Coturnix japonica: one gene and its partners. The protein of the gene in region 1 interacts with the protein of each later gene in a pairwise test. Links are inferred from orthologs where the notes say so. Each region holds a gene or a part of one and is shown in the gene's direction. Other genes may lie near its edges.

What was found. The genes of interacting proteins can lie anywhere in the genome.
Region 2: the proteins of EDC3 (region 1) and ANXA10 interact in binary tests that used the Homo sapiens proteins (3 or more experiments, as listed by UniProt). The link is inferred for Coturnix japonica from reciprocal best matches to the Homo sapiens genes EDC3 and ANXA10.
Region 3: the proteins of EDC3 (region 1) and DCP1A interact in binary tests that used the Homo sapiens proteins (3 or more experiments, as listed by UniProt). The two-hybrid records come from large-scale screens. The link is inferred for Coturnix japonica from reciprocal best matches to the Homo sapiens genes EDC3 and DCP1A.

Annotation. Positions count from the first base shown.
Region 1 is NC_029525.1:1,779,618-1,783,117, forward strand, and holds part of EDC3 (enhancer of mRNA-decapping protein 3), read left to right. Parts: intron 1-1,226; coding exon 1,227-1,562; intron 1,563-3,500. UniProt on the Homo sapiens protein: Binds single-stranded RNA. Involved in the process of mRNA degradation and in the positive regulation of mRNA decapping. May play a role in spermiogenesis and oogenesis.
Region 2 is NC_029519.1:21,816,809-21,820,308, forward strand, and holds part of ANXA10 (annexin A10), read left to right. Parts: intron 1-709; coding exon 710-823; intron 824-2,482; coding exon 2,483-2,573; intron 2,574-3,187; coding exon 3,188-3,267; intron 3,268-3,500.
Region 3 is NC_029527.1:4,964,762-4,968,261, reverse strand, and holds part of DCP1A (mRNA-decapping enzyme 1A), read left to right. Parts: intron 1-828; coding exon 829-948; intron 949-3,500. UniProt on the Homo sapiens protein: Necessary for the degradation of mRNAs, both in normal mRNA turnover and in nonsense-mediated mRNA decay. Removes the 7-methyl guanine cap structure from mRNA molecules, yielding a 5'-phosphorylated mRNA fragment and 7m-GDP.

The DNA of each region.
Region 1 (3,500 bases):
TAGAGGAGAGAGTAGTTTGGAGAAAAACCTGGCAGTGAGTGTAAGGACTCTTGTTGGATAACAGGAACAGATCGAGCTGCCCTAACATCTGACAGTCACACAAGAAATGAGCTTGTTTTCTCATTGTGTTCAGTGCAAGCTCTCGTTTATGTGAACTTTGAGTCTGTTGCTTTGACCTGCAGTCAGTGAAACATTTGGAGACTTGGCCCGTTGTGTTGGCCTGGGTTTGTGTTTCTTGTGCTGCTGTTAGCAGCAGTGTTGAATGCAATGTCTGCCAGCTCCATGCCAAGTTGTGTACAGCTTTGGAGTGATTTGCGTGTTAACTTTGGTTTGGGAATCCTCCCTCTGAGGGGGAGAGAGTGAAAATCATGTGTTAGTAAAACCTTTCTCTTAAAACTGTATGTGAATAACTGGTTGCAGCTCCCATACTGTAATTCTTGCTGGAGAGCCTTGTCCTTTCCCTCTATGTTGTTACCAGCAATTCTTCCCTAATGCTCTCTATGCTTAAGTAGCTTCTTGATGAAAGGTGTATAACTGAGTGAGAACAAACTACTGAAATAAACTATGTAGTCTCCAGCAGCTTGAAAATGAGTCTATAGATGAGCGACCTACTATAGTTAGTAATGACATCCAATTATTATTGAGACTCTAGAAGTAGAGTGTTGATGAGGTTTGGTGCTGCTGACTGCACCATGCTGTATCTGGAGTTTCATGCTGACCACTGTACTAATAACTGTGGCTTTGTAGTGGCTTTGTGCTATGGTTAGAGATACAGCGAGGTTAGGATAAATAGGATAAACCCTTTAGAGAAGTTAGCTGTGTTGCTGCAGGGACCTCTGTTATCTGACTCGGAGCTAACAAGGGTGCTTGGGGATAGTTGGTTTTACTCTGGTAAAAGCCCAATGTAGTAGGAATAAGGTAGTCCTAGACCAGGGCTCTTTTGTTATCTTATCACTAACATAACCCTATCTTGAATTAAATGAGTAGAAACGCTTGGTTTGCCTACTGTGGGCAAGCTTTTTCTTGTTTTTCTAGTCTTGCCAAAGGAAAGTCCCTGAAAGTCTATTCCCTGGTGCCTTTTCTTCTGTTTTTTGTTAGCTTATCTCAGCGTGAGTAATACCAAAGATGAGGTCTGCGGGTGCTTTGAGAAACAAGCATCTCCTTGGTCAGTAGACACCAAATGTGAGCTGTCCTCCCTTATAAAACTTGCTTTTATTTTTGTTTAGGGTCATCCAGTAGCCGCCATCCAAACCAGGTGACTCCAAAGAAGAGCGGGCTGAAAAACGGGCAGATGAAGAGCAAAGATGACGAGTGCTTCGGGGACGACATTGATGAAATCCCAGACACTGATTTTGATTTTGAAGGGAACCTGGCCCTTTTTGACAAGGCAGCTGTGTTTGAGGAGATTGAGACTTACGAGAGGAGGAGCGGCACCCGTTCCCGTGGGACCCCGAATGAAAAGCCAGCTCGCTATCGGCACGATGAGAACATCTTGGAGTCAGAGCCCATAGTCTACAGACGGATTGTGGTACCCCAGAATGCTAACAAAGAATTCTGCACGGGTATGCCAGCTCCCTTCATGATAAGGGTGCAAGCTCTGCAGCTTTGCTGGGGTACATCTGGTGTCTGTCAGCTTAGTGTGGTACATTCACTCATGTAAGGTTGGATCTGTGTCTCTCTTATGTGTCTGTAGCCTTTATTTGCAATATTTCTGAGATCAGAAATATTCAGGTAGGACAACAAGGTAAGTTTTCTGCAGTAAGGAGTGAAACTGAAGATTGGATTAAAAGGAATGGAAACTGAAGAGGAACCATGCTTTGATGGGAGCCATGCCATAATTCCTGCTTTCTTTGATAGAAGGCAGGAGATTTCAAGTATTCTATCGCAGAATCATAGAATGGCCTGAGTTGAAAAGGACCACAATGCCATGTGCAAGGTCAGCAACCACCAGACCAGGCTGCCCAGAGCCACATCCAGCCTGGCCTTGAATGCCTGCAGGGATGGGGCATCCACAGCCTCCTTGGGCAGCCTATTCCGGTGCGTCATCATTATGTGGTTATAAGGAACTTTTAATGCCATTGGTGTAAAAAGAAACAGCTCTGGGTCTTCCAACCATAGCAGTGAAGGAGCTTTGGCACCCCAGGGCAGCTGTTTCACACCAGCATAAAATCAAATGCCAGATGTTTTTGTAGAGGGGCACTAAATAGCTGGATCCTGGCAGTCTGACCACTGAGCGTGAGTGTGCTCAGGTCCTTAGCCCATCATTCTTTCTCTACCCAGAAAAACTCCATCTGGGGTGTGAAACACTTGTTGGAAGGAAGTTGATTCATTCACAGTGATTTGCTGCTTTTCTGTAGAAAAACGTCATTTTCTTACTGGTTCTGCTAGGCAGTGATATGATATCTGAGTTTTCCTTTTGTGGCATCCGCCTTCCTGTTGATCTGCTATGTTTGACAACTTCAAGACTTCCTGAAGCAGAAGTGGTTCAGATCTGTATTAATAGCTTCTGATGCCTTTTTTTTCCTTTCTGCTTAGTTTAAGCAATAACACGTTAATTCTGTGCAAGCTTTCAGTATTGCTACAGCACCCTGTGGCTTGAGGCTCCCAATGGGCTGTACTATGTGTGAATAAGCACTTCTTCCTTTGTGTGAGGATTTTAAAACGTGTTATCTGTCAATTCATCTTCCAGCTGGCTTATTTTGGAAGAGACAGAGCCTCTACGTATGTCTAGACCGAAACAAAGGCTAACCAAACTGTTGGAGAAGTGCAGCTGATATGATTTTCTAGAAGCATAATTCCTGGGAGGAAAACTGTTGTGCCGTAACCAGCAAACCTCAGGGTGGAAATTCAGAGGTTGGAAAAGAAATCATTTGCTGAACTCCATTGTTTCCTATGGAAACTCTTGGCACCCTGTCTGCAGTGTGCACAACGGAGCAGCCCTGTGAAAGCGCTGCTGTTTTGTTTTGCTCTTGGCAAGTTTGCAGAGGGAGAGTGGTGACCCTCTCTCTGTAGCTGCAGGGTCTTGCTAGCCTCATTAGCTGCTGCTGGGTGATTAGTCTCCCGTATGGAATTCTGGATCTGTTTGGAAGAAAAGTTGTCATGTTACACAACAGGTATTGCCAACTACAGCTCCCTTTTCACTGTGCTGTGCAGGGCACGTTCACAGCCCTGCAAACTGTGCATCCCTTCACTGTGTATCTTGATGTATTTTTCCCCACAGAGGGCAGTTTTCTTTGTGTTAGCTGAGGAAGTTTACTTTTGCTTAGGAAATGCTACCAGCTAGCTAGCAAAAGCTTTTGTAAACAGTTGTAAGTTGCCTGCTGTTCCTGGCTTTCAGTCGAGTGCTTTTTGTAGTGAGAAGGACAGAAGGGTATTCAGAATGCTTGGAGCGATGATGGGCTGTCACTTGATGAAATCTGGATTTCTTTGTTTAGCAGCTGAAAGGGGGATATGCTAAGCTACAAAGAGCAGCAGTGCTGAAGTCAGCTGAGTGCCAGGAG
Region 2 (3,500 bases), on another chromosome or scaffold:
ACAAACCCAAATTTTAATCTGTATTTGTATTTCTTCATTCCCAGTCTAGCAACTAATTTAATTATGTTACGATATGCATCAAACGTAAAGTACAGGCCTGAAAAAAAAAAAAGCCTCTCAAATAAATAAAGTTTATATATTGGGAAGCATTTCTGCTACTCCTACAATTTCAGACAGCTGCCCAGTACTGTATGAGAAGCACAAAGCCTTCCAGTAATCCAGAGCAGGTATTCTTATGTACTGGGATGAGTTTTTAAGAATGACTTTTAAATTAATCGCATAGCAAATAACCCAGAAAAACATAAGGAAATTGCCTGTCTGTTATGGGTTTTAATTTCTGTGGGCTGAGCTCTTGCAGATTCAGATGCAGAATCTGCTATGGGAAGCTGCAAATGCTCTTGCTGTGGTATTCAGATTTCCAAGCCCTTGAGGAACAGTTGCATTTGAACCCCTGAATTTTCTTCCATATTCTAATGAATCAAAAAAAAAAACAAGCCTATATAGTCTACTTCCTTCCGTGTCCACTGCTATCTCACAAGTACAATTAAAAGGAGTAGGTTCTATTTTGAAAGATAAATGTTGCCTAATATTGGGTAGACTTTATCTCAGACAGTTCATCTTCACTCCTTCACAGAGAAAACTGCAAATATTTGTATGCTGATTTTCATAAAGTGTGACTGTTGAAATAATCCTATGTATTTTTGTTAAGGATTTGATGACAGACCTAAAAGAGAATCTCTCTCATCACTTCAAAGAAGTCATGGTTGGCCTAATGTATCCACCTGCATACTATGATGCCCATGAGCTCTGGCATGCACTAAAGGTATTGGCCTAATTAACAGCTACTCAGACACATGGTCACTGTTTATATTACTAAATATAAGTTAAAGTGAATTTTATATATTTAAATGCTTGAGAAACTGCTAAAAAGATGTTTCAAAGTACACTGACATGTGAGTATATATGAGCGCTACACTAAGTTTATTTAACTAGTATGCTAAAACCAAAAAATAGCAACCTAGCTATGTAACAAATACATTGCGGTAAACTGGGTAAAATAAAAAATACTTATAGCAGCAAATGTAAGGCTCTGGTCTTGTGAACCTTTATGTATGTTACTAACATAGATTCAAAATGAACTGACTGCCTATTTAAAATAAAAAATTTCCTTTTTTTCCCAGGATCTGAGCTGGTGTTGTTTAAACAACCAAATTAAAACAAGACATTTTTTTTGAAATGTTTTTTTTTTTTCAAACATCATGCAATTAAAAGGTGAAATTTAGTGCTGCGTGTCCATATTGAAACCAAAAGCACAAATTGGTTCAAATTGGATCAAAAAAGACTTGAAAAATTCTTAGAATACAAGTTTGCTCTTGGCTATTAAAAATAATCATTCTTTACAAATTCTTTCTCAGGACATTCCTAAATTGCCAAATCCTGTAAGATGGGAAGGCATGCCCCAGACTGACAGTTTTCCTTCACTTTCTATAGCTACTGACAACTGCCCACTGTCACAAGTAAGATACAGATCGTGTGGCTCTGAGCAAAAAACTCTTTCAAAAAAACAGCAAAAAATTGTTTTCCTGTGTCCTACAGACTAGGAAACCAATATACTTTTTACAACTACTGATATACTTTTTAAAATTACTGTTGGCATTAAAAGAACTGTTAAGTATCATTCATACCATTAGAAGCATGACTTTTATCAACATTATGGCCAAGATCGGCAAAGTCACGTTTTATCTGAATGTGGTTTCAAGTTGAATTTCGCAGTACTCTCTCTCAATCTGGATTCACATAGCTGAAGTAAAGACCATGTTTCAGTCTCCAGGCTCAGGCTCAAAGCCATATTCTCCCATTATCCCATATACAGTATACTTATCAACAATATACATCTGAATACAGAAAGCTGCCCACTATCTTATGTCAACTCAAGCTCAGAAAATTACTTAGAATCCTGATAGAAAATGCTTGCAGCAGTGTCTAAGTGGCAGTGACACTTTCCTGAACTACCAAGTTTTATGGCATACATTACAGACAATAACATTCCCAAACAAATAAAAAAGAATAGAAAAAAAGACAAAAACACTACATGACACTGGAGTTCTTATCTACTTCAGACTGGCTTGAACACTTGCTGACACATATACACAATCTTTGCAACTGATTTCTCTCAGTAACTCTTAAACTCTTATTCAAGCTCTAAAATTCTTCCCATTGTGTTTCTGTCAACAGCAGTCTTGCTTCCTTCCCTACTTATTAACACATATTCTGAAATTCAAAGTAAGCAGGAGTATATTTGCTGTACAGGTTTTGACAATTAACTTGAAGTCAACTCTTGTTTAAATATGTATATTATGCAAAGGCATGCCAGACACTGCTCCAGAAGAAACTGTTATTCTTTTGTTACACCTAATAAAGCATTTCTTTCTTCTGGATGCTGTGGTTCCTAATGATTTCATATTTACTTCCTTCTACACAGGGAGTAAACACAGAAGAAAAGTGTCTAATTGACATATTAGCCTCAAGAACAAATATGGAGATATTCCAGATGAAAGAAGCCTACTTAACACGTAATGTATTTTACAAGCGTACAACAGCAGCTCTGATATGTGTATTAGGCTGGATGTGTTAGCATGAGTGAAAGAACTAAATTACTAAAGTGACTTCTCAGCATGGTTCCCTTCCTCTTCCTCCCTTTTTACAATTATACTTAAAAAGCTGAAGCAAAATGAATGTATTCTGGAGATTTACTGCTGCCTGTTACATTTTAAATAGCTGGCAGCCACATTTGGGGATTTTCATAAACTTCTGCACACATTTTTCTGAAGTACATCTACTGTTTTTCTCAAAAAGTGTTTATTCGTGCTGAATATTCAACTCACCTTCTTTGAGGGGTGCTTCTGAGTATCCCAGAATCACGCAGCTGCATCAGTGCCAGGGCTGCCAGGCACAGGCAGGAGGGTGGGTGAGCTGGTGCAGTGGCTGAGGCTTTGGCAAGGAGGATTCCCTCAGTATTTAGGTCTGCAGAACCTGCATGAGTTCCTGTGGAATAATTTTTAATACCTTTAGAAAACAAGTCTCTATTTGCACCCCATGCGTTTACCCTTTTTTTGCTTACTCTCATGAATAGTATTCAGAGCACATTCGTTTTGTACTTAAGTTACACATTTTTGTTTCAATCTAGAATACAACAATGATCTTCAACAAGATATCGATTCTGAGACTTCAGGCCACTTTAGAGACACTCTCATGAACCTTGCTCAGGTACTGTAAAAACAATACGCAGTATGATACACATATAAAAAAAATAGAGTGACTTTTGATATTATTCATGAATTCTTAAATGTAAAGTTAACTGCAGCTAAATTTAGCTCAACACAACTGCACTTTTGTACAAGAGAGTGGAAAGAGTAAAAGACGAAGAGAGCTAGAATTCTTTTGTCTACTTTGGCTTTCAGTTCACTTTTCAGATGGTGCAAAGATCAACATTTTATTAC
Region 3 (3,500 bases), on another chromosome or scaffold:
TTGTTTCTGTAACTGTAAGGCAGTCCACAATTTCGGGCCCCAAAAGAGACCTTTGAAGTTAGCGGCTAAAACACATAAAGACAGGAGTTGTTTGTTTCTGTCCATAGATAATTTTGATTTTGTATTTATTCCTCTCGAATATTTTTAGAAAACATAAATAAAGCTCAGATTGTTTCTAACTTCTTGTTGAAAGGTTTAGCCTGTATTTTGTTGCTGTAACAGGTAAGTGACAAAAGAGATTGTGTGTTGTGCTGATGTTGAGCTCTGTCACAGGGGTAAGGTGTAGTTCACCTGAATGCCAGGCTGCTGGTCCTACAGTTGCTTTTCCTCTGTGCTTTAAACTGTAATAAATATTGTTTACTTATGTATTTGTTGAATATGGAAATCAACACAATCTGTAAAGAGTTTGTAAACTTACTGTCTGTGACTTCCTTGTCCTTTTAGCTTTTTTCACCTAAAACCCAGTTAACATCTTCCGAAAATACTTGCACGTTATTAAAATCTAGTGAAAATAAGTCACCAACAAGCTCTTTATCCAATCACTCTAGAATGATTTCTGACAAAAGCTTTTTTGTAAGTTGCTTTTAGTATGAAGTTCTTGATTTAATATCCTCCTTAGCAGCTAATGTGGGAAAAGAATATGGAAAGCCTGTCTTTATTTTCTTTTATTTTCTCCTTTGAAAATAAAAAGAAAAGCATCATGAACACATGCCAGATGTTGTATATTTTGGTATGATATTATTTCCTGAAACGTGGAAATTCTGCAGTATCTGTCAAAAGTCAGTATTTTGACCAAAGTGTATCTGTATTTATTTTTTTTTTCCCCAGAATCAGAGCAATGATTTAAGTGTCGCGTCAAGTTCTGGTGTACAGCAACATGCAAATCCCACAAAGCCAGAAAGCACAGAGACTTCAGAACAAAACACTTCATTACAAGTGCAAGATCAAGTAAGTTTAATTCAAAAGTATATAAGGTACTGCTTCTTTATTTAGTACCAAAAATGCCTGCAGCATCACTTGCTGAATGTTTTGTGCTTAACTTTAAAATAAACATATTTGGAAGTGTAGATTCAGTTTAAGAATGGGTTTTAGTATCTATTCTCATCTCCTGACTGTGCTTGTCTGAGATCAGCTGGTATGATTCATCACCTCCACCCCCACTTAGATAAACCAGTGGGTTTTAAGACTCTTAGGAGCCTACAATCCATTTTTCATCTTAATGCTTAAAAATATAAGATGGTGTCTGCGCTACTCTGAATATTCAAATGTATTTAAATAGGTTAACTTAGAATCTGGACTGTCATGGACTCTATGCTGTCAGTCAGTGATAGCATAGAGGTCTGTGTGAGATGACTGCAGAGTGAGGAAGCAGACAAAATTACCTCTGTCACAGTGACAGAGTGAATATGGCATCAGTCAGTTGTATGCTGTGCTGTAGACTTGAAAACAGAAGCTCAAGCCCTCCCTTTCCCACGTTTGAGACCTGTACTTAAGGTCTGTCCATGCTGCCTCCTAACCTGTAGCTATACTCCTGGTAACTGAAATCATTGGTGAATTGCTGGATTTTCTGTTGGTTTTTTTTTCTGTTTTAGATTTCAGCTTTGCCTTCCTTCTTTGGCAGTAAGGAATATCTCCCAAAAATTTTTTCATCAATGTCAGTAAATGATGTTGCTCAAGTTTATGGTAATTTAATTGCGTGTACAGTGCTTAGATCTGTTTCAGGTAAATGTTAGATGAATGTTCAGTCAGCATCTATCTACGTACTTTCAGATTCTAAAGCCTACTGCTACTACTGTAACTGAAGATTAAGCCACAGTTGTTTTTTGTTTTATTAAAAATAAAAAGCTAGTGAGAATAACCTGTGCTTCACTTAATTGTCTTTGAACCATGGGAAACTTTATATGAAGTAGTATAATCACTGGAGTGGTTGAAATATGGGCTGCAGAAGTTTGATTGACTTCTTTTTCTTGTAAGGGTATATAAACAAGGGACCTGTGGCTTCATACAAAACTTTCTAGAAATTTGTTTTAAAATAATAATTTGTGCTACATCTAAATTCTCTGTATCAACTTGTACCTGCTTACAGTGCCACCCAGTGGGGACAGAAAGATCAGGAGCAGTTCTCTGTATAAAATACCCCGCTGAGGTGACCTGGAAATGTCTGCCTCCAGGTCCTTCCTGTAGCTTTACTGTTATGTTTTGAATGCAGTAAACCTTCATTTCTGAAAAAGGAAATGCCTGAGCAGAATGTGTGCAACCTTACATTTAATACTTGTAGACAAAATATTTAATTTGTAGTAAAAATAAATAATTACTAGTTCAGGTTAGGATATGAGTAGCAAAAAATTTGTTTATGTTGATGAGTTAAAACAGGAGGTGAAGGGAAGCTTCATGGGATTGCTGGCTGTCACAGTGCCCTCCACCATCTCAACAGCACTTCTGATTTAGAACCAGCACAAGTGATAGACTGACCCCTGGCAGCCAGCTCTGATTGCTGCATGCTTGTGCTTGAGGCCTGGAAGCACATAATTAGCTGAACTTGCCAATCAGTAATAAGTAACAAAGGAAAAAATCAGAAAGGTAAGATTCTAGTAAATTGAAACGAAATAATTAACAAGTTTACAGAACAGGTAAAGCAAAGTACTTTAGTGCCTTTTCTGTTGAGTAATTTAAAACTGTAGCTGCACAGATACTGGGGGGAGAAAAGCTGGTTACTGTACATGATACTTTACTTTTGTGAAGCTGGATGGGTTCAAATACAGTATGGAGATGTTTGTTCTCAATTTCATTTTTAATAATATGAACTACTGGAAGAATGAAAAAATCACTGTTTCAATGGTAAGAGGACATTTTCACCTCATTAGAGCAAATGACCAGTGAAATTAAAAACTACTGTACGTTTAAGTACTGTGAGATTCTGAAACCCCTCCCAGGATGTCACATTTGTATGTTGGTTTCATGTGAAGGATGTCACAGATTGGGGAATGGAAAATCAATGTCTGTTCTGTGGTATTTAGAAGTTCAAGTTATGTATCCAATTCTAAAAGAATTCAGTTGTATCATAAAATGTTTTTGTACCAGTGGTCAGCAAAACTGAACTAGGACACTGAAATTAAATGTATTAGTGCCAACTCTGGCTGCTAATTCACATGTCTCAATGTATCTGAAATGATTTCTGGAGATACCCTCTGGGCAACACTCTGTTCCTATCAAGTAGAATGATTGTGTTACCTTCTTTGCAAGCGCCTGCAGAAGAAGGGTCTCCATAACACAGTGAGCTGATTACATGCTTAAAATACACCTCAGCCAGAGATGAGACAAGAAAAGGAATGTGTTGTGTACCTCATGTTGGAAATCAACCCAATGTTCGTGACTGTATTCATGTGAGCGGCTAATCTGACTAGGATCAGAGCATGGTAGATAGCAATGAGTTAATAAAGAGAAGCTAGTTAATTCATCATACTGAGGTTAAAAGCAGAATTTCAGGTGGAAGAGTTAGT